Canis lupus familiaris: one gene and its partners. The protein of the gene in region 7 interacts with the protein of the main gene of each other region in a biochemical or structural test. Links are inferred from orthologs where the notes say so. Each region holds a gene or a part of one and is shown on either strand. Other genes may lie near its edges. The genes, in order: NCK1, FGR, RASA1, YES1, FNBP4, LYN and KHDRBS1.

Evidence for each region.
Region 1: the proteins of KHDRBS1 (region 7) and NCK1 form a complex in vitro, tested with the Homo sapiens proteins (3 studies listed by BioGRID, with this or other methods). The link is inferred for Canis lupus familiaris from reciprocal best matches to the Homo sapiens genes KHDRBS1 and NCK1.
Region 2: of the proteins of KHDRBS1 (region 7) and FGR, one has a biochemical effect on the other in vitro, tested with the Homo sapiens proteins (2 studies listed by BioGRID, with this or other methods). The link is inferred for Canis lupus familiaris from reciprocal best matches to the Homo sapiens genes KHDRBS1 and FGR.
Region 3: the proteins of KHDRBS1 (region 7) and RASA1 form a complex in vitro, tested with the Homo sapiens proteins (2 studies listed by BioGRID). The link is inferred for Canis lupus familiaris from reciprocal best matches to the Homo sapiens genes KHDRBS1 and RASA1.
Region 4: of the proteins of KHDRBS1 (region 7) and YES1, one has a biochemical effect on the other in vitro, tested with the Homo sapiens proteins (2 studies listed by BioGRID, with this or other methods). The link is inferred for Canis lupus familiaris from reciprocal best matches to the Homo sapiens genes KHDRBS1 and YES1.
Region 5: the proteins of KHDRBS1 (region 7) and FNBP4 form a complex in vitro, tested with the Homo sapiens proteins (2 studies listed by BioGRID and IntAct, with this or other methods). The link is inferred for Canis lupus familiaris from reciprocal best matches to the Homo sapiens genes KHDRBS1 and FNBP4.
Region 6: the proteins of KHDRBS1 (region 7) and LYN form a complex in vitro, tested with the Homo sapiens proteins (3 studies listed by BioGRID and IntAct, with this or other methods). The link is inferred for Canis lupus familiaris from reciprocal best matches to the Homo sapiens genes KHDRBS1 and LYN.

What each region holds. Positions count from the first base shown.
Region 1 is NC_049244.1:33,892,866-33,897,093, reverse strand, and holds the end of NCK1 (cytoplasmic protein NCK1), read right to left. Parts: intron 2,365-4,228; coding exon 2,170-2,364; 3' UTR 501-2,169; downstream 1-500. UniProt on the Homo sapiens protein: Adapter protein which associates with tyrosine-phosphorylated growth factor receptors, such as KDR and PDGFRB, or their cellular substrates. Maintains low levels of EIF2S1 phosphorylation by promoting its dephosphorylation by PP1.
Region 2 is NC_049223.1:72,080,235-72,083,734, reverse strand, and holds part of FGR (tyrosine-protein kinase Fgr), read right to left. Parts: intron 1,652-3,500; coding exon 1,548-1,651; intron 1,303-1,547; coding exon 1,153-1,302; intron 472-1,152; coding exon 316-471; intron 239-315; coding exon 59-238; intron 1-58. UniProt on the Homo sapiens protein: Non-receptor tyrosine-protein kinase that transmits signals from cell surface receptors devoid of kinase activity and contributes to the regulation of immune responses, including neutrophil, monocyte, macrophage and mast cell functions, cytoskeleton remodeling in response to extracellular stimuli, phagocytosis, cell adhesion and migration.
Region 3 is NC_049224.1:21,307,750-21,311,796, forward strand, and holds the start of RASA1 (ras GTPase-activating protein 1), read right to left. Parts: upstream 2,801-4,047; coding exon 2,331-2,800; intron 1-2,330. UniProt on the Homo sapiens protein: Inhibitory regulator of the Ras-cyclic AMP pathway. Stimulates the GTPase of normal but not oncogenic Ras p21; this stimulation may be further increased in the presence of NCK1.
Region 4 is NC_049228.1:67,651,986-67,656,252, forward strand, and holds the start of YES1 (tyrosine-protein kinase Yes), read right to left. Parts: upstream 2,801-4,267; 5' UTR 2,602-2,800; intron 1-2,601. UniProt on the Homo sapiens protein: Non-receptor protein tyrosine kinase that is involved in the regulation of cell growth and survival, apoptosis, cell-cell adhesion, cytoskeleton remodeling, and differentiation.
Region 5 is NC_049239.1:42,338,908-42,343,052, forward strand, and holds the start of FNBP4 (formin-binding protein 4), read left to right. Parts: upstream 1-1,345; 5' UTR 1,346-1,392; coding exon 1,393-1,630; intron 1,631-2,529; coding exon 2,530-2,619; intron 2,620-4,145.
Region 6 is NC_049250.1:7,889,951-7,893,450, reverse strand, and holds part of LYN (tyrosine-protein kinase Lyn), read right to left. Parts: intron 3,164-3,500; coding exon 3,058-3,163; intron 1,761-3,057; coding exon 1,662-1,760; intron 1,541-1,661; coding exon 1,437-1,540; intron 718-1,436; coding exon 568-717; intron 1-567. UniProt on the Homo sapiens protein: Non-receptor tyrosine-protein kinase that transmits signals from cell surface receptors and plays an important role in the regulation of innate and adaptive immune responses, hematopoiesis, responses to growth factors and cytokines, integrin signaling, but also responses to DNA damage and genotoxic agents.
Region 7 is NC_049223.1:68,529,417-68,532,916, forward strand, and holds part of KHDRBS1 (KH domain-containing, RNA-binding, signal transduction-associated protein 1), read right to left. Parts: intron 3,357-3,500; coding exon 3,232-3,356; exon of another isoform or gene 3,050-3,231; intron 2,415-3,049; coding exon 2,298-2,414; intron 600-2,297; coding exon 453-599; intron 1-452. UniProt on the Homo sapiens protein: Recruited and tyrosine phosphorylated by several receptor systems, for example the T-cell, leptin and insulin receptors. Once phosphorylated, functions as an adapter protein in signal transduction cascades by binding to SH2 and SH3 domain-containing proteins.

The DNA of each region.
Region 1 (4,228 bases), on a different chromosome or scaffold from region 7:
TGCCTGCCTCACCTCCTGGATGCTGTTCAAGCTTTGTTTTGTTGAACAATCAGATACCCAAGTCTTTTGCCTTGTGGAAGATGAGTATATGCAGTGCTTGTTATATGCAGGTGCAGGTCATGTGGCCTATCTGGGAACTCTCTAGTTATTATAAATCTAATTATGTCAGAGAATGTGCAATCTACTTCCAGTCTTCTCCATTCCTAGCTGCTTTCTTAAAATCCTTAACATAAGTTCAGTGGGGTTTGCTATAAATATAGCTCATGTGATACATGATTAATGCATCAATTACATTGTGATTACAAAGTATTAATTGCTTCTTTTTTTTTTTTAAGAAATATCTTTTTAAAAAGAAGACTGGGGGGAAAAACAAAAAATGGAGAAAAAGAAAGCATCATCAGCTGTTTAAAATCAAATAAAAAGGTGTTTACTACCTAATCATATTTATAACACTTTGAAACTATTTTCTTCAACTTATATTCAAGTGATTTTACAGCAAAAACAGGTAAGCACATGACTTTTATTTCTATTACAATTGTCTACTAATAATCATCTCAATAAACAAAGAGAGACTGACAAAGATAATGAAATATGAACTAAAAGGCTTTAAAAGTAGATGTGGTGAAAATAAAAAATTGTACATCAATGCTTTAATTGTATTTGCTGACTCCTATTGCTTAGTGGGAGAAGCCAGGGCTGCCACCCAGTGGCAATGTAAGTCTTCAAATGATTTTAAGAGTTAAAGAATAAAAATTACTTAAAATAATTAAAAAAAATAATCCAAAAACCTCAGGAATTAGACAATTTCAATTTTAACATCAGTAATTTTGGTGTATTAAATACTTATCTATAACACATTAAAGAATAGAAACATTCATTTGCTTAGGCCGCACTGGGGAAATTTTTAAAAATACCATAAGATTTCCTAATACTGAAAGTAATTTTGCTTAAATTTAAATTCCAGAACAAATTATGTCGGAGAGGATAGCTAAGACCACAAAATACAGCTGTTTTCTTCTGTGACCTGCAGAAGTAGATTCAATACTCTATAGTAGCCTCTCATTCATACACCCAAGCTTCTGTTTAGTAAACAAAAACAATAGAAACTCTCCAAAAGTAAGATTTCAAAAATAACCTTCTCTAACCATTTGGCACATCCCATCTTTTCCTCAGGTATGATCAATTTTAGTGTCTCAGTCAACAAAACTCAAAGCTGAAAGGAGGAAAAGAAAATAGCAGAAATACTATACCTAATACTGATAGACATGTTTGGGGAGGGGAGACAAGTATCTCACTGCCTCCTACTTCCCCAACATTTGGCTGCAGCTTTTTTCACACTGACACAGATACAACATGCCCCAATACAAGATGCTTTGTCAAAATAACACTAGGGGAAAAAAAAAAACATAACACTAGGGCATCCATTTATAGTTTAAAAAGCTAAATATCTCAGAGACTGCTTTATTCTCTTAAATAACCAGGTAAGAAGCAACCCCACAAAAAAGTCCTAGAAGTTTAGATTTTTGTTTCCAACAGTTGCAAATTAAAAGTGTACAAGATACGTTTTCAAACCTATGTCCCATTTGTTTTGCTTTACAATGAAGACAATGAATATTTTTTAAAAATGGCAGACACAACATACTTGATATTTACAATGGCTTGCAACAAATACCTGAAAATAATTTCTAATTATCCATTTATTATTGCTATTTAGTCACAGAAAAGAACATTGTCCAAGAAATTTATTTTAGCATATGCCATATACTGATATAATAATTTTATATGAAGAGAAACCATTGCAGAAGTGACCTAAATATGGTGCCCTTACAAGGAAATAAAGAAAAAAACCAATAAATTCTTCCATGTAAAGACTTTCGATCTGCATCATCTTTAGAAAATATAAAACCTTAATATTAGAAGCAAAGAGAAAAACAGACAAGAAACAATAAAACAGAAGACCAAGGATAAGGAACTGCTTTATGCAGATGCTTTGCATATGTAGTATATATGTATGGGCTGAGTTATAATAAAAATACTTATGTATCACACTCAATTCTCATGTAGAGTCAGAAATCAATTTCCAATCAAATATGATTGGATTGACATTTTCTCAGTCTTCAATTACATGATGAGTTATAGCTTTATAGCAGTCACTTCTGGTCAGCATTATCATGACAAATGCTTGATAAGATACAGTTTTTCTCCTTGTTCACTTGTAAAAATTGGTGCCTTTTTGTAATGTTCTACAAGTTCTTCCATGGTGCTGAATTTACGCTGCCCAATGCAGTAGACAGTCTCTTTTAGTTGGACTTTAAAATGCTTGTTTTTCCCTTGTGCTTTTAGTGATACAGAGAAATCATTTGGCTAAAAGAGAAAAAAATACATAGGGTAAACATTTTGAAAGATATCTATTAGCATTTTTATATTACACTAATAATAATAAAGTGCTCAAATCTTAGCTAAGTACTAGGCACTATGCTATTTACATAGATTATCTCCTTTACACCTCTAACCAACCCTTTTTAGAGATGACAAAATCAAGGCCAAGAAAAGCTAAGTTGCTCAAAATCATCCATGTAGTTAACAAGACAGCCAGGATGCAAACCCAAGCAGCCAGACTCCAAAGTCTCTTAAATAATATGCTCTAACACCCATGGCAAATCCTTTAGTTTAACATCTGAAGCACAAGAGCTATCTTCTCTCCTTCAGACAACTGGAGAAACACATGAGAAAACATGAGTTAATGTGAGCTAACAGTAGCTATCTCATAGACTAGCTCAGATATTCGGCTGAATTCTTAAAGACAATAGACACTAATGAGAGGTCATAAACTCAAATGCCTACAAGGGTCAAAAGACATATAAACAAATGACAGGGTGGACAGAGAGAAGGAACAGTGCATGGCCAATTTAAAGAAAGTGGCCACTTAGTGGTGATTGTTGTCTTGTAGAAATACAGGCAAGGTTGGCAGGCCTTCCAATTTTATTTTTATTTATTTATTTAAAAAAAAGATTTATTTATTCATTCATTCATTCATTCATTCAGGGGGAGGGAGGGAGGGGGGGGGAGAGAGATAGTAGAGACACAGGCAGAGGGAGAAGCAGGCTCCATGCAGGAAGCCTGACACGGGACTGGATCCCGGGTCTCCAGGATCACACCCCGTGCTGCAGGCGGCGCTAAACCGCTGCACCCCGGGGCTGCCCAGGTCTTCCAATTTTAAAAGGAAGTCTGTCACCTGACTTTTTATAGTAAATTTCCCAATATTTAAATACTGGTAACAAATTCAAATGTTTAAAAAACATTGTTCATGTCAAACAAAATATCCTGTTTGAAATCTTTACTTTAAAAATTCTAGGGATGCTTGGGTGGCTCAGTGGTTGAGCATCCCTTCAGCTCAGGGCCTGATCCTGGGGTCTCAGGACTGAGTCCTGCATTGGGCTCCCCGCAGGGAGCCTGTTTCTCCTTCTGCCAATGTCTGCCATTCTCTGTTTCTCATGAATAAATAAAATCTTAAAAAAAAAAATCCTACTGCTAAAAATGATGGTGCATGTTGGCTAATATCCATGCTCAATTACCCACCAAGAAAACAGTGTTTTGTAACCAAGCTACTTTCTTACTTTTTGTTGTTTTTTTTAACCTAAACACTTTTCTGAACAGTCTAAAAGTTTTATATAGTTACTGACAAAGTTTCAAATAGTGGGCTTCTTGGAAACATCCTATACCTATGGTTACTCTTATCACCTGCTCTAAGGTCACTCATTTCCTAATGCTTCTTGCTCACTGCTTGTCCTAGAAAGATAGATCAAGTCAGGCATCTAACAGAAAACAAATCCCACCACTGTTCCCTATCATTGATCCTGCTCTTCCTGAGGGGTTATGTACAGGCCTCATTTCCTGAACTTCATATCAAGCAGTTCAATTACCTCTCTTTTCTTCCCTCCCTTTTATAAACATATACACGCTATACGCAAGTGCACATACACACACCAGATAAGTTTTCTTCTGACTTTAAATCTTTTCTACAATCACACATTCACATTTATAGAACTACATACACAGAAACAAAGCCAATACTAATGATCTGAAAACTGGAAAAGTAGTGGTATCCTTTTAAAAGGAAAAATAAAGACCAGTTAAATGAATAGGACCAAATTCTAATATTCTAAACAGTAATCAAAAGAGCCTACATAACTATTATTCCATTTTTATGGTTTCATAGTTTTACTAA
Region 2 (3,500 bases), about 3.6 Mb from region 7:
CCCCCAGAGACACCTCTCTGAACACCCCCGGACTCCGCCTCCTGACCCCGCCCCTCACCGTGGCACATGAACTCGGTCACGATGTAGATGGGCTCCTCCGACACCACGGCGTACAGCTGCACCAGCTTGTCGTGCCGCAGCAGCTTCATGATCTGCGCCTCCGCCAGGAAGGCCTTCGGGGACATGGTTCCCGGCTTCAGCGTCTTCACCGCCACCTTCGTGCTGCCGTTCCACATGCCTGCCAGGTGGTCGTGGTTCGTCAGCACCGGCTCCCGGTTGTCCCAAGCCCGCGCCCCGCCCCCGGGACCTCCGTACCCAGCCACACGTCCCCGAAGCAGCCGGTGCCCAGCCGGCGCTCGAGCGCGATGGAGCTGCGGCTAATCTCCCAAGCATCCTTGGCCAGGCCCATTGTCTGCGGCTTCATGGTGGTGCAGGCCACCGAGAGCAGGTGGCAGAGCCCGTCGTTCACCTCTGGCGGGGGTGGGGGGTGGGGGGCTGTTGCAGGTAGTGGGCAGGCCAGGACGCCCCACCCATTCCTCATCCTGTCCCAGGCGCAGCCCTTCCCCTGCTCCCCTCCCCCATCAGTGGAAAGGAACTAGGCCACAGGGGAGGTCACACGCCGGGGCCAAAGGCAACCTGACCCACTGAGTAGGTGAACATGTTGGTGCCCAGGGAAGGAAGGATGATCCCCTGCAGGGTTTGGAGTCCTCTCCATAGGAGGTGGCCTCCAGCTGGGCCTTCAGGGTTAAGGTGGGATTCTGACAGGTAGAAATGAGTTGGGGATTCGAGACAGTGGTGTGGACATGAGGCCCTCGCCCTTCCCTGCACCTCACCTTTGGTATAACTAAAGCAGAAACCTGGGCATTGATTCCCAGCTTCCTCTCAACCCTACAGCCCATCCTCCAAGTCAGGTCTATTTGGCTTCCTGCCCAGCTAGACATTAGGGGGCGCCCTTCTGACGTGGACAGTCTCACACCTGTTCCCTCTGGAATCCTACAGAGCAGGATCCTGGGCTGGGAACCCAAACCCTTGGTTTCCAGTTTTGCTCCAGCCACTACTGCTTTGGGAACCCCTTTCCTTCTCTGGCCCTAATTCTTAGTGGGTTAGTTCAGGGACCCAAAGCACACACCAGCCCTGGAAGCCAGCCCTCACCCATGTAATGCTGTACCAGCTCCTGCACCGAGTGGAACTGGGCCCGTGTGGTGATGTAGTAGCCGCCCGTGTCCAGTTTGCGAATTTTGTAATGCTTCACATGGTCGCCTCTGGTCTGGTCCCAATCCCGGATGGACAGGGAGTAGGCACCTGTGGGCAAGGGTTGTTTTCGAGTCTGCTTTCCTCCTCGCTCATCATTTTGGAGCCTGAGACACCCAAATGCCTGGGGACTCAGAACTTGGATGGCCACATCCCTTGAACTCGGTCCTAGTCAAATCTCTGAACCTCCACCCCTGTCCCATCTGCCCACTCCCCCATGACCCAAGCCCCTCACCACTGTTCCTAGCCCCACCCTAACAGCTGAGCTTCCCATTTGCCCCTTCCCAGGCCCCCACCTTTGGTAGTCTCACTCTCACGAATAAGAAAGGCCCCCCGGGGGTTCCCAGGGGAGAGCAGCTGCCTCTCAGCATCCTTCCTCCCGATCTTTCCAAAGTACCACCTGTTGGGAAGGGCCAGCAAGAGTCAGATACACCCAGATACACCCAGTTCAACCCACAACTCAGCCTCCTGGGGAAAAACCACCTCACTAGCCAAGATTCAATTTCCTCACTCTTGAAATGGGGCTCATACACCTGCTTCACAGCCCGGCCCGTGAGGTGCACAGAGACCAGGAATGTGGAATGCTTGGCTTGTGGTAGCCACCCAGTAAAGGTTAGACTTCTCTCCACTCTCTGGGTTTCCCTTCAACTAAAATCACTAGGACCCCAGTCACTAGTGACCTCATCAGGGTGCTACCAGTTTCTGAATGCATCTCACTACCACTCCTCCAAGGGCTCATTTTGCAGATGTGGAACTTGAGGCTCAGAGAGGAGAAGTGACCTTCCCTCAGGACTGGTTGATGAGGTCTACGTGAAATGCTTTACTTCCCAGCCTAGTTCTTTTCCCACCACCTAGGCAATCTTCTCCCCATCCATCCCTACCCCCAAATCCTTTCCTCCTATGACTTCCAAACAACAGCCTTTCCTGCTTCTCTTCCCCTCTTCATGACTGCTCCTGCCTGGCTCTGACTGCTGGTTTTCCTCCACTCTCTTTAACTTGGATATTCTTATAAAGCTAGATTTCAACCTCAGATGTCAGGCATTCCTTCTTTGTCTTGGATATTTTTCCTAAGACTGAACTGTAGCCTTAAATCAACTGTGAAAATACACTGGGAGAACCAGAGTGGCCCCACAAGTGCCATAGAAGACTCAGATGTCCTTTGATTACAAAATTGGCCAATCTGGGGCGCCTGGCTGCCTTCAGCTCAGGTCATGATCTGGAAGGTCCTCAGCTTGAACCCTGTGTCACTTCCTGCTCAGTGAGGAGTCTGTTTCTCCCTCTCTCACTCTGCTTCTCACCACTAGCTACCCGACCCCCTCCTCACTAGCTCTTATGTGTGTGTGTGTGTGTGCATGCATGTGTGTGCATGTGTGCACTCTCTCTCTCTCAAATAACTAAATAAAATATTTAAAATAAATAAATAAATAAACCAGTTTACACCTGGGTACTGGGCATAATTTGGGGGACAGGAAGGTACTGGCAAGTAGAGTGTCCAGGTGGGCAGGCAGGATGGGGAAAGAGGAACTGTAGAAGGCCTATGTAGACAGGACACATTCGCAAGTTTTTTCAAAGCCGTGCCCCCACCCATACCCATGGGAGTAGTTACCTCCTTAATAATTAATTTAATAATAACAGTACTTATTTTATGTCATGCTCTGCTTTATTTTTTTTTTTCATGCTCTGCTTTAAAACACCTTATATTCATTTAGTTCTTATAACAACGTTGTGAGGTAGGTCCTATTATTAACCTCCATTAGACAGATGAGGAAATTGAGATACCTAGTGGTTAAGCAACTTGCCCAAGGCCACACGCTCTTAAGCTGTGTTGGCCAGAATAGGAACACCAGTTGTCGCTCAATGGCCTGCAGTCTTAACCACAACGCTGCTCTTAACCATGGCACTGCAATGAGTGTCTCTCAGAGCTTCGTGACACTGCTTCTAAGATGCGGACACAAGCATGAACCTCCCACACCTCCCACCTTCTGCATCATCACCCTTCTCTTTTCCATGACTCCTACCACTTTCTCTGGATGAAGGCCTCACCTCCTCTGAGCTCAGGACCCCAACCACTTCCCTTCGCTCAGGGACACCTCTCCCCTACAAACCAGCCCCCACCTGCAGCCTCTCCATCCCACCAACCTCTACATATGCCCACATTTCTTCCTTCCCCCCAAAAAAACTGTTCTAAGCCCTAACTTGCCATCAACATTCTGTTATATCTCTCACCTTCTCTTCACTTGAAAAAGCAC
Region 3 (4,047 bases), on a different chromosome or scaffold from region 7:
TAAAAAAAAATTAAAAAAAGGAATTCATAGAAAAGATCTGAACTTCATCTCTAAACCTACTTAACCTGATGGAAACCTTTATGAAGTCATAATTCTTAATATAGCTAACCATGGTAGCTAGACCTCTGGAGTACGAACCATTGCCTAAAGTAACTATCAGTGAGGGAGTTCCCTGTACCAATAGAATCAGTAGGCAATTTAATGGCAATAAAATATTACTGTTACTTTGGCATACTATTTACTGAACACTTACTATGTGCCAAGCACTGTGCTGACTGAATACTTCAGGGTTCTCATTAAATCTTAAAAACGATGCTATGACGGAGGTACCATTATTATCCCCATTCTACAGATGGGGAAACTGACCTTTCCAAGATCACACAGTTATAAGTGGTAGAGTCAGGATTCCAACCCAAATCTTGTCTAACTTCAGAATTTGCACCCTTAAACACTACACTGTATTGCCTCCAGTGACTCTGGTTTGATATCTAAGATAAAGAAAAGAGGGTAATTTGTACTCCTCAGTGACAAATTTAAAAAACATACTTGAAATGGAGGATACTTTTCAGAACATTTACGATTCTCATATATACAGTCATGCAAGTATTATTTTTATTCCCAAATATATATTAATGATGATGGAAACCTCACACAATAGACTTCTAAAAATTTTTCCAAATACTCCTTCATGTTTATCCTGAAAAATCTAATGGGAACACTATATTTTCTGCCCAGTTTTGCTGTGAACCTAAAACCATTCCACAAAATCACTTTTTTAAAAAAATTTATAACTACAATATACAAATATGCCTAATATAACTCAGTTACAAACACTGGCAAAAGACTGCCTTCTTTCAGTATGAAAAGTTGCACTTTATTATAACCCTAGTGCTGAGCATGGAGTGATGTAGTGAGCGCTTAAATATTTACTGATTCTTTCAAAAAGGCTTGAAGGTGTGTAAACAGTGCTGTAAAATTCAAATTTTTCACACTCCCAGAACACCTTCAGAGGTCTATAAAACAAACACATAACATGGTAAGTTGGAATAAAGTTAGACAAAAAAATTAAACTCTTACTGAGCAGTATACCACGGCTGACACAAATCAGGCTACTTTTACCTTTCCCCCTTAAATATCAAAAGATGTAGCCCTAGGTTAAGAATGGATTATCACAGAATCTTTTTCTAATCATTTTCTAAGTCCTTTCTAAATCCTCCAAAGCTTATCCAAAACAAACAAATACTTTCAATTGTCCAGAGTGAATGTCATCATATGAACCAAATATTTTTTCCTCTGATACACCAAGGCTGTCGAAATTCTAAAGGTCAGATAATAACTGATGTGAAGGATCCGTAAGAACGGTTTTGCCATCTATTACCCCTTCCCAGTAACACTCTCCTCTCATCAAGGTCCACCTTTACAAACACACACCTATGTTCACTTATGGAGGGAACAAGGGGAAGGTACTCACCGTGTGAAAAAAGCCATTTGCCCTAAATGCCCTGCAATATACCGTCGCAACTGATTGCCAAATGGAACACTGCACTGGCCACCAACAAAGTATTGAAGTATTGACAATTTTACTTGAGAACTGTGCTTACAAAGCCTCAACTATAAAAAGATCAGGCTGTTATCAATAAATGGGAATTTCACGGCCTACGTCACAGACCCCGTAAGAGGAGAGAGACCCTTCACCACACCTGTAATTCGCAGAACTCCTTTCCTTTCTCGCCGACCCACATCTTCAGGAGAGACCCGAAGACTTTTCTGCATCGCTCTGCCTCCGAAAGGCTGGGGATGCACAGCACCACAAAGGCAAAGCCTTCTGACCGGTGCATGTTTAAAATGGTCATCAATACCATACTCCTTGGAATACTTGCATACCCAAAGCCTTATGACTAAGGATAACCTGACTTCAACAGGGAATGCACGCACAGGCTGAGAGAGACTCTACGGCCCGGGCAGCTGCAAGCTCAGCTGAGCCCCGGGGACGCAACCTCGGCTTGGAAAAGGCAGCACCGTATCCGGTTCCCGATGGATACACATGCCCCCCCTCCCCCCCCTCCCCCCCCACTCTCCATGCTTTCCTAGCTCAAAAACTTCACTTCTTCCCAGGGTCTAACCAGAAAGATGCAAAAGACGCCGAAGGCAGCGTGCACGCCCTCAGGGAAGAGGAGCGATCCAATCAAGTCCCGACGCACGCCAACCCCGAAGGCTCCAAACTTTTTCACCAACGGATCGCAACTGCAAGAAAAGCTGCAGGTCCCAGGGGTTCGCACTTGTGCCCAGGAGCCGGCGTCCCCGGGCCCGGGACGGCTGCGTGCACTTACTGGTTAGTCGGAGGCGCGGTCAGGGGGATGGCCACCTCTTCCTCCTCGTATTCGGGTCCATCCAGGGAGTCCCCTTCGTCCACGGTTCCCAGGCCGGCGGCGCCCAGGGCGGGCAGCTGAGGCGGCGGCGGCAGCGGGGGGAAGGCGCCGCCCGCCCCGAAGGTGTCCGCAGCCAGCGAAGCGGTGCCCTTGGCGAGGGCCGGCTCTCCCCCGGCCCCGGCGGCCCCGGCCCCGGCCCCTCCCCCTGACAGTCCGGCTCCCCCCACGGCTCCCGCCCCCGGCCCGGCGCCCAGCGCGGCCCCGCCGGCCTCCGGCAGCCCGGAGCAGGCGACGGCTGGCACGGGCAGCGCGCCGGGCATCCTCACCCTGCACGCCGCCGGGCAGGCGCTCGAGCCCGCGGCCGCGCCGCCCCCCGCCGCCCCCGCCGCCCCCGGGCCGCCCTCCTCGCTGCCGCCCTCGGCCGCCATCATGTTGAAGCCCGCTCCGCTCTCCGCTCTACGCTCGCCCGGGAGCCCCGGGGGCCAGCAGGCCCGGGCTCCCAGCCGCCCCACCCGGGCGCGTCCCCCTGGCGGCTCCCCGGGCGGAGGAAACGACAACAAAAGGACCGAGCCCGCCGCCGCGCCCCCTCCTCGGGCCACAGCCCAGGCTCCGGAGCGGCCCGGGTTACGGGAAGCCGAGTGGGCAAAAAACCTACCGCCGGCACCAACGCCAACCCGCACCTTCAGCCTGCACACCCACACTCACACACATGCACACTAGTGAGAAACTTCCTGGCCGCGCCAGAGAGGAAGGGAAGCACAGAGGAAGCGGCTGGCGCGGCTGCCGCCCGCTCGGCCGCCGCCGCCGCTTCACCACCCCAGTTCCGGCCACCCCCACCGCAGCCACCGCCGGTGCCGCTGCTGGGGCCCGGGCCGCGGCGGCCGCTGCATCCTCCGCGGGGCTGGAGGCGGGAGGGGTGGGGAGAGGAGAGGAGAGGAGAGGAGAGGAGAGGAGAGGAAGGGGCGGGGGGCGGGGAAGCGGGCCGAGCGGCTGCCGACCTGGAGCGCTCGCGGAAACCGACTAGAGAGAGAGGGAGAGAGAGAGAGAGAGAGAGAAAGGAAGGCGGGGCGCCGGAGGAGGAGCCGGCCGCGGGAGGAAGGGCGGGGAGCAGGGCCGGGGCGGCTTGTGCGCAGGCGCGGCCCTGGCGCGGGGGCGGCCGCGCTGCTGGGCCCGAGGGAAGGAAGCGGCGGGGGCGCGCGGTGCGGGGGACCGGCCGCGGGGGGGCGCCCGCCCCGTCCCCGCCCCGCCCCGCCCCGGGTCAGCGTGCGCCGCGGAGGGGCGGGCCGAGGGCTGGGGGGCCCGGCTCCGCGAACGCGGCGGGGACGCTGCAGGGGAGGGGGCAGCGCCGAGGAAGACGGCAAGGAAGATGCCGCGGAGCCGGGGCCCTGCTTCCTGCTGGTGGAAAATAACGCCTTTAGGAAGCGGCGCTGCCGGGGCCCGGGGCCGAGGGGGAGTGGCAGGGCTATCGATTTGTTTGATTTTCGTCGCATACTAGAAATCACTATATGACTATTCCGTGTTTTATTTTATTTTATTTTTAAGGTTTTATTTGTTCACTCATGAGAGACAGAGACACACAGGCAGAGGGAGCAGCAGGCTCCACGCAGGGAGCCCGATGCAGGACTCGATCCCAGGACCCCGGGGTCACGCCCTGGGCCGAAGGCAGGCGCTAAACCGC
Region 4 (4,267 bases), on a different chromosome or scaffold from region 7:
GTCACTAAATGTTAAGTTCTTTACCCAAGCACCTTATATAGTACATTACACAGTCTTCTTAAAAAAAAAAAAAAAAAAAAAAAAAACCATTGGAACCACCAGCAGGTTAAAACTTTGTAACCACTACAGAATCTGGGTCCCAATCACAACTTCCTCCCACCTCCCATATCTTTACTTGTACAGAAATCACTTCCTTGCAGGTTTTTTTTTTTTAATTATACTTTTATTTCCCAAGTTTGTATTCCCAGATACCAGAGCTTAGTAGTGCTTTTTGATATTAGGTGCTTTTTAAAATTGAAGTACAAATGACATACAACATCCTACGAGCTTCAACTGTACATCATAGTGATTTGATATTTTCTATATTATGAAACAATTCCCTCCTAAGTCTAATTACCACCTGTCACCATACAAAGTTATTACAAGAATATTGACTATATTCCCTATGCTGTACCTTACATTCTTCTGACCTATTTTGTAACTAAGTTTGTACCTCTTTTTAATATAATGCTAAAAGGATAAATGACAACTACACTGAACACTACATCGAGTTAAACACGTTTATAAAGAAAAATTACTCACGTTAACAAATTTACTGCCTAAAAAGATGCAAATTTGGACTTTGTATAAATAAACCTTATACCACAGGTTGGTAATATTTCACTTAATACTGCATTGTTGCTATTAGCCTGTAACATTTATTCTTTCAACATTACATATCATGAAGGAGATCTATTTGCATGGACATTGATTTTTTTTAGCTTGAGATTTTCCTGAATTAAAAAAAAAGAAAACTCCACCCATATATTAATATTATACTTCAGTCATAAGACAAATTCCACCTATCGCAGGAAGACGGGTCAAAGTCATAATTTCGCTTTCAGTAGACTAGAAAGGAGTCAATTTTGTGGTTTATGAAGTCAGCAAAAACATACTGCAAAATTAAAAGCTATTATAACGTTATGGTGGTTATACGAGAGTACATATTTTAAAAGCTTTTTTTTCTTTTATTCTGGAAACATGGATACGAATGGTCTTGTATTTAGATTCGAATCAAAGGCAAGTGTTTCGTTTTATTTTTCAATCTTAAGACCCTATGAATTGGTCAACCAGCATTCAAAATCGCCACTGAGGTTTGGGTAATGTCCAAAATTTACAATAATTAGACTTCCTTTTCTTAAATGTCAACGATGACAGTGGTCTCACATATCAGTAAAACAAAGCAGATGTATGACTGAAGTGAAATAAAACTTTCTTACAGAATGTACGAAATATATATATATATACGTGTGACGCACACAAAATCCTCGTTCTCCTACATGACACTCCTTCGTTACCTGCCCATTCAAAATGTTTTCTGTCCACCGTGAGCCACTGCCCTAGTTATTAGATTCACCAGGTACTATGCTTTAAGTACACAGTCACATGTACCCATTTAGTAGTATCTTCCTTAGTCCGTAACTTTAGACATTTACCAGGATGTTTCACAAATACTCAGAATTATCGAGATACCGTTGGCACCGCAATCCTAGAGTTATGAAGACACACGTATACCACAATCTTATGCATGTACATGTCAAATCATGTATGTGAAAGCACACCATGAAACACACGTACCTAATGGCATGAACATCAAGTTGCGATTCCACTAGAGACGTCTCGTTTCCTTAACGATTTATAGATTGCTAGACCGTGGGTTATTCCACGCCTGTTTCAACTAATCACGCAGAAAGTAATTCAACCAAATCCGAACTATGCTGTGTCCCACCCACCACAAAACAAAAATTAAAGCAGTCCCTGCCCTGGACTTATTTGCCACTCATCAGAAGGCAAAAATCAAAGCCATCCATCCCTACACCGGACTTGGTTTCCAAAGGGCTTCCGAAAACGACGCTAACCCCATGCCCAATGAAGCAAAAGCTGGAAGCGATTACCAAGAAGGAAAACACACTTTAAACCAAAATTTCCTGCACCATGTGGACAGAGAAGCGAACCCAATGGGAGGTGGAGCGGCAGAACACTGTAAGAGCGGACGCTGAATGGCATCCTTCCCAACCCCCAACCCAAAACAAAGGAAAACTTTAAACATGTTGCGGTTTTCAATCAAACCAAGCAAAGCGAGAGGCTCCCCCCCTCGCCCCCACACACGCCCACGTCCGCTCTCCCAGCACAGTTGCCACCCGGCGTCTTACCACGGGGACCCTCCGGCTCCGGGACAGAACCGGGCTGCGGCTCCCGGCCCCGCCGGCGGCCGCGGGAGCCACCAGCGACCTCGCCCCCGGGCACCGCCGGGAGGTAGCGCACCGCTCCCAGGACCTGCGGTCGGACCTGGGCGGGCCCGGGAACGACGGGACGGGGCGGAGACCGAGTCAGGGGGGCGAGCAGGTAGCGCCGGGAAGGAGACACGCCCGCCGGGCCGGCCGGGACGGGGGAGGGGAGAACTTTCTCCCCAACTTCCCGACTCCGAGCCTGCCGGGGCGGGGAGCGCCGGCGCCTCGGGGCGCGGGCGCGGGGGCGCGCGGGCGGGCGGGCGCCGGGGCCTAGCGCTGCCCGGGCCGGGGTCGGCCGCCTCCGCCCGGGGGGGCCCAGCCGGGTCCTTACCTGCCCTCCAGCCGCGCTCTCATGAGTCGCCGCTACCGCGGCCCGGGGCGGCGAGGAGGGGGCGGTGGGCGGAGGCGAGGCCCGCGGGGCCCTCTCCCTCCTCCACCTCCTCGTCCCGAGCGCCCGGCCGCAGCGACGACGGCACAGCCGCCCCGCACTCGCCGCTTCAGGAGGAGGGAATTCCCGGGCTCCCCCACCCTTCGGCCTCACTCTCCACCTCCACTCCGCGCGGCGCCCGCCCTCACTCCCGGCTCCGCCCCTCCGCGGCGGGGGCGGGGCGGGGGCGGGGGCGGGGGCGGGGGCGGGGGCGGGGGGGCGGCTACCTGCGCGCGCGGCCGGCCCGCTCACCGGAACTCACGCCGCGCCCCCCGCCTTCCGGCGCCGGCGCGCTCGGCGGCTGTGGGCCGCGGGCCGTCCCCCTCCCCCCCCCCCCGCACGCCGTCCCGGTCGGCCGCGAGTCCGGGTCACTTATCCGGACCCAACATGGCGGCGGGGTCCGGGGCGGATTCCCGAGGCGGCGCGGGCTGAGGGGGCGTGAGGAGGCGGAGCGCGGCCGCTGCGGCCGCGGACTACCGGCCCCGGGAGGTGGAGTGAGGGAGGCTCCCGCCCCCTCTTTCTGGGTTCCCTTTGCCCCGCGCCGTCGTGCCGAGGGCTTCGGGCTTTGTGTGCGTGGGGAGGACGGGCTTGAGTGCGTGCCTTCTGGGACGAGGCTTCCGCACCCCTCGTCGCTGGTGGGGAGACCTCAGCCCCGCCGCGTGAGCCCGGGGGCGCGTCACTAGGCGCTCTTCGCCGGCCTGGTCGCCGTCCAGAGACGCTCGCGTCTGGCCTCCTTCCGAGCCGGGGATCCTGTCCCAGCGCGGGAGCTTCCTGTTGACTGTTGGTCGAGCCAGCCTTGCCGGGAGGGGAACCGGAGCCGGGTTCTCCTGGCGAGCTCCGGGGAGCGGTGGCCTCGGCTGATGCCCCGGCAGCCTCCCCCGGGGGGACAGGTGTGCATACCCTGCCGGACGGCTGCGCCCCCGAAAGTGCGGCAGCCCCGGCGAGAACTCGGCTCGGGGAATCCGGGCACCTTTCCCGTGTGCTCGGCGGCCGGAGGCTGGAGGACAGGGAGAGGGTCCGGAAGGAACAGACCGAGCCCGCAGGCTCTTCTGCCGAAGCCACTGCCGCGCTGTGCGACCCGAAGCCTGACTCCCCCCTGCACTTCCTCCTCGGTGGGGCTGTCGGGACCATTCGTGTGGGTCTGTTGGTTTCCTTTGCGGTTTTCAGTGAGATTCGGAGTCCTCTTTGACAAATAAATAATACAATCGTATGTGTCAGAATTCTGGCATTCTAGGAACTTAGGAAATGAATATAAAGGTTTGGATTTTTTTCTTCTTCAGCTCACTAAAATGAAGCAAAGGGGAGCCTAGGCGTTCCCGTTGCCAAAAAGGTACCCATAGTGTGGCATGGTGCTTTAATTTGATTTAGCTACTAGAATTTCACTTCCCCTTAACTGTATTGGGGATTAAACATTTTCATGCAGGTTTATAGTCCGCTTTTTTTTGTTTGTTTGTTTTTAATAGAAAATAAGATGGGCAGCCCGGGTGGCCCAGCAGTTTAGCGCCACCTTCAGCCCGGGGTGTGATCCCAGGGACCCGGGATCGAGTCCCGCGTCGGACTCCCTGCATGG
Region 5 (4,145 bases), on a different chromosome or scaffold from region 7:
TCAGGCCTCACCCCACCAAACCTCACACACATTCCAAAACGTCATCAACATCATCTGGGTTATACGCTTTCTTGATCTCGGGGTTGTAAGTTTGAGCTGCACTTAGGTGTAGATATGACTTAAACATAAAATCTTTTTAATTTTTTTATACATTTTATTTATTTATTCATGAGACACACACACACACACACACACACACACACACACACACAGCAGAGACACAGGCAGAGGGAGGTTCCATGCCGGGAGTCCGACGTGGGACTCGATCCCCAGGTCCTCAGGATCACACCCTGAGCCAAAGACAGGTGCTAAACCACTGAGCCATCGGGGCTGCCTTTAAACATAAAATCTTAAGACAAAACAAAACAAAAAGCCCACACACACGTCCCGGGGGATCATCTATACATTATGGATCATGATTACCTACCGTACAAGGTTGTGGGGAGAATAAAATACAATCGTACTTGTGAAAGTGCTTAGTGCCTCACACATAATAAGTGCCCAGTAAATGTTAGATAGTATTGGTGTGCTCCAGTAAGACCTGAGCTGCTGGGGATATAAAAATAAATACCACCCAATTTCTTAGGCTAAGGAAGAGGGAAACGGATACAGGGGTAGGACGTGAGCCCTGGGGAGGAGCTCAGCACCGAGATGCAAGGTTGCCATAACGCCTGCCCCAGGTCTTGAGGAACGCAGTTTTGCCATGTGATGCCGCACGGTAGGTCGCGATCGACTGGCCGGCTCCGGGGTAGGGAAGGAGACAAGGAGGGGCGAGGGCTCAAGGAACGTAAACCTCAAACATCAAATGTGTGCTCTAAGAAAAAAAACTCACAAAAGCATAAAAGACCCACTATTTTATTTAGTGTTCAACGTCAAACCCAAAGTAAGCCACAATAATCAGGACAAAACTGCGGGAAGGGCCCGAAAAGCAGCAAAGCTTCCCGATGGACAAAAACAAAACAAATCAAAAAACAACGAACAGCCAGCAGAGAAGAAGGGCAAGATGGAGGACAAGAGGATAAAGAAAAAGACTCCGCAGAAGACGCATGGGTGGAGTCCGACGTAATGGAAAGTCATTCTAACGCAGGCCCTTCCGCGCTATTGGCTTGACGCTCACTCTTTTCCCTTTTCCATTGGCTTCTGGTTCCTTCAATAGATCAAAATAGCCAATCGTCTAGCAGCGTGGGTAAAGCCCGCCCTTCCCCTCTCGGGGGGCGGAGCCAGACTAGCGTAAAGAGCCCAAGGCGCTTGCGCGGGCGCGCGCTCCGCCGGTTAAAAGCGGATTCTCTCAGGAGGCGGTGTCGCGGTGCATGAATATTGATTACGCAGCGCCGCGCGGAGCGCCCGCCCCTCTCGGCTGGCCGACGCTCGCGGCTCGCGCTCGGGCTCGCGATGGGGAAGAAGTCCCGGGCGGTACCCGGCCGCAGGCCCATCCTGCAGCTCTCTCCGCCGGGCCCCCGGAGCAGCACGCCGGGCAGGGATCCGGAGCCGGAACCCGACACGGAACCGGACTCGACGGCGGCGGCGGCGCCGAGCCAGCCAGCTTCGGCGGCACCACCGGCCACAACGACGACGGCCACGGTGACTACGGCCGCCGCGGCCCCAGAAGACTCGCCTTCAGAAGGTAAAGGTGCGCAAGGGGCCCCGACACTCAGGTGGGGCGTCCAAAACTCGAGCTCGGGACTTGCGGCCTACGGCAGGGCCCTGGCACGAAGAGAAACCCGGGCGCGCGGGCTGCCTCCGCACCGCGGCCTGCTGCGTGGGGCCCGAGGGGAGGACGGCTGGGGGCCTCAGGGCGGCGGAAGGGGCCGGCGGCGCCATCTCTGGCGCAGGGCCGGGCCTGGCTTCCCGAGTCTCCTCAGCGTGCACGCTAGGGTCTGCGTGACTTAGGGGGTGGTGGTGAGAGGACGAGCTTTGCATCCGAGGCCCGGTGACCGGGAGCCTGGCCTTTTCCACACGTCCTGCGCTTTCCCCTTCGTGAAGAAGGATGAGTTCGGGAGGGAGCAAACTCATTTTATTAATGCCGGCCAAGGCGAACGTAGCTCCGAATTGGCAGGTACCCCTCAAATTCCGGGAGAAGTAGAACTGGAGGGTTCCGAAGTACTTGTTTGTTTCTCCCCGGAACCGTATTTGGATTAAGAGCAGCTGTTCAGTGCTCCTTCGAGGGCCAGATGCCCGAGAAGTCGGCGACCGTTTCCGGCGCTATCCCTGTGGTGTTGTAAAGGCCCGATCGGAGCCCGGAGATGTATTCTGTGCGTGTGTATTTTTAAAAATTCGAATTACTTCAGATGTACTTTGATGTATCGTAGTCCTGTTCTTAATGTTAAAGCCACTAGTCACGTGGAAGAGTCTAGCTCTCCGCTTCTTTATCATCTCCCCCACTATTTGGGTCAGTGATGGATTTACGCACCCTGTTTTCAAATTGGTGAAATTTAGACTTGAAAGGTCAAATCGAAGATTATGTTGTTATCTTGTTTTCTCTAGTCCACCGGCAGATTAGTTTTCTTTTGTTCCTTTTTAAAAATCCAGATGAACAGGAAGTGGTGGTGGAGGTTCCCAGAGTTCAGAATCCTCCTAAACCAGTCATGACCACCAGACCTACAGCCGTGAAAGCAACAGGTACAGTTTTGTTTTTTCCTCCCATCTTTTCTCCAAAGTCTCTCATAAGGATCAAATTGGGCTTTTATAAAAAGTATTTCATTGAACGCTTCAGTGTGGTTAAATTACACATTCTCCCATAAAATGGAAATGTAAAATTTCCGAGAATAAAAATAGCTTTTTTTTTTTTTTTTTTTTGTCTGAGGGCTTGCTGGTATATACACTTTAACCAACGTAAAATTTGTTGCTTTTTTCCCTGTACCCAAAATACTTCGTGCTACTTCTCTTCTAATGCTATTTGGTGGTTTTCTGGCTCCCCACTATCTTGGTGTTCCATGGATATCTTTCATTCTGTGCATTTTTAAATATTTATTTATTTATTTATTTATTTATTTATTTATTTATTTATTTATTTATTTATTTATTATTTTTTAAAGATTATATTTATTTATTCATAGAGACACAGCTAGAGAGAGAGGCAGAGACACAGGCAGAGGGAGAAGCAGGCACCATGCAGGGAGCCTGATGTGGGACTCCATCCCGGGTCTCCAGGATCACACCCCGGGCTGCAGGCGGCGCTAAACCGCTGCGCCACCGGGGCTGCCCATGTGCATTTCTTTATAGATCAAAATATGTTTGATACTAAATATCTTATAACTGATAATTCATTCTTTTTTTTTAATATTTTATTTATTTATTCATGAGAGACAGAGAAAGAGGCAGAGACACAGGCAGAGGGAGAAGCAGTCTCCAATGCAGGGAGCCTGATGTGGGACTCGACCCTGGGACTCCAGGATCACGACCTGAGCTGAAGGCGGCACTAAACCGCTGAGCCACCCAGGCTGCCCCTGATAATTGATTCTTTTCAGTTTGGAGTTCTCTCTGTGCTATAGGACACCTGAAAAAATAGATGCTCGTTCTACTCTTCCATTTGCTGCTTTTAAAAAATTGTTAAAATATGCTTTTATAATATAGTAGAGCAAGAGTATCTAATGCTTTCATGAAGAAGAATATTATGGTAATAGCATGTGAAACTCTCCAAGAAAAATTTCAGAGTAAGCTCTGAAATTAGATCAATAGACTACTATGATACTTTTATCCTATTGAATGTTAATAGTTTCTGTTACCAGAAGAAATAAAACCACTGTTCAAATGTTAACAGTTGCTAGAAATATGACAGTTACTGTTTGAAGCTTATCAAGAAAGGTATACACCTAAGAAATTATTTTCTATCTATGTAGTTAGTTGATTTGCAGGTTGTGCTTATTGAGGTTTGTGCAGTCAACACTCCTCAAAAAAAAAAAAAAAAAAACAAAACATCAGCAGCAGCTAAGGACTATGGCTCTGAAGAATGTCCTTGCTTCCTCTGGTTTTAAGTAGTAACAACATTTCAATAGTAGTCTGGGATAGGTCCTGTAAGTCTTTTATTCATTTATTTATTTTTAGTTAAACAACTTTACATAATAGTTATGACTTTATCATTCTGTTCCTTATCAATGATGGAATGTCCCTTATCAGTGATAGACTAATTCATGCTTGTTCATTAT
Region 6 (3,500 bases), on a different chromosome or scaffold from region 7:
CGGAGTGAGGAGCAGAAGTAAACAGTTCCTGCAGCTGCCCCCTACAATCGACTTTAACCCCACAGGGAATGAACATAAAGACTACCCATGGGTTTGGCTTCACAGGGCTGAAACCCGTGGCACTGGAGACAGAGGACCATTGAATTGCCACTTGTAAATATTTTCTTCTTGTTATTTCTGTCTTCTTTTACCCAGACATATACACATATATATACAAAGACACAGAGCTGCAAATCTGCATTCTGATGCCAAATATTTAAAGATGTGTTATAAAAATATGCACTACGTGAAAAGAATATTCATCTTCCACTTCACAGTGTTAGAACATTAACTGTCAAACAGCATAGATGAGGTGGGAAGAGCTGGGATAATTATTCACTAAGATCAAATCTGACTGTAGATGCATAGTTAATTATAGATTAACTTAGAATCAATTTCAGAATATGATCCTCCAACTTCATCCAAAAGAAGTATGAGGTAGAAGAATTTTAATCTAAAAAAGTGCTTGACCCCCTCCGGTTCACAAAAAATCTGTTTTGTCTTGGCCAACCTTCAATTTTCACTTACTTTGGTAATGTTTAATCATGTCGCTGATACAAGGAAAAGTGATTCGTGGAGAGATGTAATATCCCCCATTGTCCAGACTTCTAATTTTGTAGTGCTTAATAACATCACCATGCACAGGGTCATAATCTCTGACGGAAAGAGAGTAGCTTCCTGTGGGGGGAAAAACACAAGTAAAGATTATGCTTGTATTTTACAAGTAAGATCTGCTTTACCCAACACTGTAGTCCACATTTTTGGCCATAAAATATGCAAAATGTAAATCAAGTATGTATGTAGTGCATAATTTTAAGTCCTGTAAAAAGTCTACCTGACACATGAAGCTACCATGTTGTTGCTCTGTAGCTTACCAACATGTCACATTCCTTCTTCAGGCTAGATTTATTATTATTATTATTTTGCTGAATTGGAAAGTTATTTTGATTTTCTTCCTCTTAAAAATTTCAAGATTTACTCTTAATCATAGTGTAGGAGGCTCAGCAAACATAAAGCTTGGTAGGAAATGGCCGTAATTAGGTCTGCTTTCTATGTCACTTTTAGTAGCAAAACTAATCATTTGAGTTTATTGTTATCAAACTATAACACTTTCACTACCAGCACATCTCTCTTTTTTTTTTTTTTTTTTAAGATTTTATTTATCTATTCATGAGAGACACAGAGAGAGAGGCAGACACACTGGCAGAGGGAGAAGCAGCCCCATGTGGTCTCCATCCCGTGACCCCGGGATCATGCCCTGAGCCGAAAGCAGACACTCAACCACTGAGTCACCCAAGGCGTCCCTTTTTTTTTTTTTTAAATAAGAAATCTATGCTAAATTTCTAAGAATGATTTCCTAAGTAGTGATTTATAAGAGGACTTAAAACACTTCCTACCTTTTAATGTTTCGCTTTCTCTGATAAGAAAAGCTCCAGCACTGTTCCCTGGCGCCAGAAGCTGCCGTTCTGCATCTTTCCTGGTTATATCCTTGAAAAACCACCTGAGAAGACATTTTCACATTTCATAGATGTTATGCTCCAGGGAAGGAAAAAGATAAGGAATGCAAAAGAAAGCCAGTGCAGCAAACAAAACCATCAAAGATGGCAACTGTAAGGACTCACTCTTCTGTTTCCAACGTGTTCACTTTGGCTACATAGTTGCTGGGGATGAACCCTTCTCTCTTTGTTGAAAGAGATTTAGCTTTCCACCATTCTCCAAGTCTGGAATAGAAAGAGACATCAAAAAGTTTTTGTATGCAGGGGCATCTGGCTGGTTCTGTGGGTAGAGCATGTGACTCTTGATCTCGGGCTTGTGGGTTTGAGCCTTATGTTGAGTGTAGGTAGGGGTTACTCTAAAAAAAAATGAAATCTTTAAAAAAATAAATGTTTGGATCTAAAGAGTCAAGAGCTGCAATAGCAGTTGTTTTAAGGTGTCTGTTTTTAGGGGGTGAGGGAGGGTGGGAAGATCCCTGGAACCCCAGAATCCAGTGGGAAAATTCACTCCTTTTGCTGAAATAAAAATATGTGTAGAGACTCAGGCAAAGGAAAACAGCCTCACAACTGGGTCACTGTGCTCAGTGCTGCACACACAAGAGTTGGTGAAAATGGTTCCTATCTTGCAGAAGCAACATGTTTGTAATCTCTCCCAGGATGTCTAAGAAATGCCGTAGGATCCTTACAGAAATAGGAGTCAAGAGAACAGTGAACCACAGCTCTGACGTTATAAACACCTTTGTTAAAACATCCCATTTCCATAGGGAGATGCTTGGTGATAAGAAATAGAAACCATAAAGCAATTCCAAGCAGGTAGGCTCATCCCCACGTTTTTGTCCTCAGCATGGAGTCAAGGAGGAGGCCAGGGCCAGGGAAGGAGACAGGAGTGGAGGGGTCCTCATGAGCCTCAACTATGATCCTCAAATTCCCCCACACAGTCAGGTTCCTGGACTGTCAGACTTGAAGGACAACCACAACTGACACCAGGCTGTGGCCTACTGGATGCCTATACTATTTGCATACACACATGCACACAACATTCTCATATGAACCCCGGCGACAGAGGTACTGCCGTTTCCATTTCATAAGTGAAGAAACTCAGGTATAGAGTTGAAGTGACTCGTCAAGATCACACAGCTCTCAAGAGGCAGGGCCAGGATTAGGTCCAGGTTCACATTCAGCCAGTAAGCGATAACTGTTCTTAACCACTTAGCACCTTGTACTTACTAAGGGGGCTCCCTCCTCCAATCCTGGTTGGCAGGCCAAGATGACAATGTGCGCAAGACTAGGGGGAAATCCATATTCTCAGTACTGAGATCCTGTGGTCTGAGCCACAGGTCTGTGAGTCAGGACAAGAGGGCGGGAAGATCCCTTTGGCCATATTCCTTATACTTCCAAAGCCCTGCTAGCAGCAAGGAGGCAGCGAGGCTGGTTATTGCTGGGCTACTGGAAGCAAATCGAAGGGGACAGGACTCAGTGGCTAGAGAAAAGGGACAGCAGGCACAGTGTGCATAGGTGTACTTACTCCTCCAGGACTTTCATTTTCTCTCCTTTCTTGAAAGACAAGTCATCTGGATGGATGCCATCATAGGGGTACAAGGCTACCACGATGTCTCCTTGCTCCTCTGGATCTAAAGATGAAGGAGGAAAGGGAAAATTTTCAAGAATCCATCAATGGTAACATTTTAACAAGTCTTTATCAGGCACATAATGAATAATGAGTGTGTTTCCTGCCTAGTGGGGGCTCAGAGCCCACATGGTCTGCAGTAAGTAACATATTACACACACTGGATACAGTATATGTTATCTCCAATCATACAGACCCTACCACTATACTTAATTCCAGCTCTATATCTAAGAAATGATACAGCCATGTTCAGAGCAGGATTATTTGCAATAGCTAAAAAGAGATAACACGGGTACCTGGGTGGCTCAGTTGGTTAAGCGTCTGCCTTTGGCTCCGGTCAT
Region 7 (3,500 bases):
TAGAAGCCTCTTGCTGTTATCTTCTACACTCTCCAAAGTCTAGAACATTAACCCCTGAGTACAAGGAGTTTACGACTATCTTAGCCTTCTTCTTATCATAACCTCCTGGTTCCACACTAGTACCAACACACTTAATTCAGTGAAGACTGTTAAATCTTTGTTAATCAGATGTTAAAACGCCAGACACACTGCAGACCCAAGATACTAACAATAGATCCTGGTATATAACCAAAACCACATTAGACAAGGAGGGGTAGAGTAGCTTTGGGGCACAGTGCTTTGAGAACTAGGTATAAGTAACACACTACCTCAGAAAAATGAACATAAATACAGAATTTGGTATGCAATTTCAGGTTATGCAGAGATCATGATTAAGAACCCCTGCCTTATTAGCAACAGTACAAGATCCCAGTTCTCTTTTGCTCAAAGATATAGGATGTGGATTTCCTTACTGGTACTAGAAACTTCTTGACTTCCTCCATAGCATGGGCCATAAGAGCGTAAGCCTCACATGGGGGTCCAAAGACTTCAATAAACACATGCAGATCCATATTCAAGTGGGCATATTTGGGGTCTCCACCTTTGCGCAGCTCTTCCTCCTATGGAAAAATGCAGAAAAACATCACATCACATAGAATGGGAGAAAATGATAGTTATTTCCAGCTCAAAGAGAAAGAAATTAAATATCTAAGAAAAATAGCAAAGTGTAAGACAAAAGCAAACAAAGTCTAGAGGATAGTAATTCACACAACCTGCTAAACCTGTAATTTGGTCTGCTACTAAAAGTTAACCACTGTATTGAGTCCATGGTATATTCACTGCAGCTCTTACTAGGTGTAGAAGAGAGAAACTTAATTCCAGTCTTCATTCAGATATAAGCTGTTTGCCAAGCATGCATGCATTCATTCATTGCCAAGCATTTGTTTTTAAATTCCACGTAGAGGGATGCCTGGGTGGCTCAGCGGTTGAGTGTCTGCCTTCAGCCCAGGGCATGATCCTGGAGTCCCAGAATCGAGTCCCACACTGGGTTCTCTGCATGGAGCCTGCTTCTCTGCCTATGTTTCTGCCTCTCTCTCTGTCTCTCATGAATAAATAAAATCTTTTAAATCAATCAATCAATCAATCAATCCTAGGTAGAGCTGTTGAGCACAGGCTCTTCATTTTTTTTTTACACTAAAAAAAAAAAATACTATTTATTTTGGGGGTGGGGGGACAGAGGGAGACGGAGAGGGAATCTTAAACAGGCTCCATGCCCAGTGAGGAGCCCAAAGCAGGGCTCGATCTCACAACCCTGAGATTATGACATGAGCTGAAACCGAGTCAGATGCTTAACCGAATCAATCACCCAGGTGCCCCTAAACTTTTTTTATTCATTAAGTAATCTCTACCCTCATTGTGGGGCTTGAACTGAGGACCCTGAGATCAAGAGTCACATATTCTAGTGACTAAGTCAGCCAGATGTCCCAGTACCAGTTCTTTTTATTGTCTGGGATGTTCTAGGGGAGGAAAGAAGTCAGGATAGAGTGAAGAAAATCTCATTAGCTAGAATAACATACTTCAGCCCTAAGTGTATTCATCTAGTGAGAAATGTGAGTGGATAAAAGAAAACAATGTTCATCAGTTTAGGCTGCATAAAAGGAGCCCTGAATGACTAAGTTCTTAGACTGTACCTGATATATCTCATCTAAAAAGCTGACCCTAGAATGCTAAGACTATTCTGTTTTGGTAGAATTTTCTTTCTTTCTTTCTTTTTTTTTTTTTTTGAGTGCTTATAAAGAATACAAAGCTCATGGGCTACGACATGGGAAAAAAAATTAGCATTAGGTTCTGTTGTCAGGATTACTATGGTTCCTTTTGAAATACTTTCTTTTAGTGTTCTTTACATTCCAACTGGCTCTAAAAAAACCCAGACAACTAATCCTCAGATTCACCTGTACTCACAACATTACTGCTCTCATTTTTCAATGTTACTGGAAAGGGAATGTGCTGTTCACATTTTAGTGTCTTTAGTCTGGATAAGTTTTAGCATATACAGCTTCCCTTCCAAGTTTTCAGAGACAAGCTTACAAATGTGAAAGTTGTTACTGCTGCTTCTATTACGAGGCAGTCAAAAGTCAGGAAAAAAAAAAAAAACCACTAGGGCACACCTAGCCTCTTCCAGCGTTGCCAAACAAGTAAATTAACTAGGTCTGTAATCTCTTACACCCAACACAAATTTAAGGGATTCACATTCTGTATTTTTATAAGTACTGGCTTCCAGGAGGCATTGTCTTTTTGCCTCACTGATGTGAGCTTACCTTGGCTTTGTCTCTCATTGAGCCCTTGCCCAGCACAGAGATCTTTGCACCTGTCTCTTCTTGCAGTCTTTTGATTGTATTTCCTTGTGGTCCAAGGATCTTCCCCACAAAATTGAACTGACAGAAAAGAAAAATAGATTTCTAAATACGTATGTTCCTATAAAACACTTCCACATGTATTACTGTCTCATTTGATCTACAACCCTGCAAAATAGGGTGCATATTACCATTCCTATTTTACTGAAAAGGATATGCTGAGGATACACTGAAAAAAATGAATAGTCTAAGATTATACATATAGAAAGCAGCAGTTCCTAGACTTGAACTTGGGTTTCCAGATGTAGTCTAGTGCTCTTTCCAAATTATCACACTGCAACCCTTACTGCTTCAACAAACAAATATTTTTAAGGCAGTGACTACAGAACAGACATATGGCATTCTTTTATAGTACTTGTTTGGTAAACTAAATATAACTAATTTCTTTTCTTTAAAAAAAGGAAAAAAGGAGGAGGAGGAGAAAAACAAGAAAGTATTTATTTGAAAGTAAAACACTGATTAAGAAATAAAATTAACTTCATCTAGTCAAAGATTTGTGCTATATTCCCTGTATTGAGATTTTATCAATCTTTTTTTTTCCCCACATCAATCTTTTGACAGAGAGCAACTCTTCAGTTTTTTTCTTTGAACTTGGAGCCTGAATGTTTGAGAAAGAAACTCTTTTTGGTAATAAAAAGTTGATATTTCCTTCCTAGATATAGGTATACGGCTACTTACAGACTCAGATGTTTCAACTACCAAAAACAAGTACTACAAGTATGGAAGAGAAGCTTCACAGGCTCAAGGACCTAATGCATCACAATTTCCAGAAGTCTTTATTATAGCCCGTGGCTCTCACACCTACAAAGACAACCAAGTGAGGCACGTCTGGCCTTACCTTGGGATACTGCTTGACAGGTATCAGTACCCGCTCCTTCAGCTTCATGTTCTTATGAGAAAATAAATCCAAGTAATTCTCCTCATCGTCCTTTTTTGAATCTCCTTTCTGAATCTTCTCAATTTCTGAATAAGACAAACACAATTCAGTTTTTGTTCTGGTAACTAAATGCAAATATCCAAGTCTGCATAAAGCAAAAACAACATAAGACCAAATAGTTCAGATGAATGTGCTAATTTCAGATAGAGACTGGCTGAAAGCATCAAAGG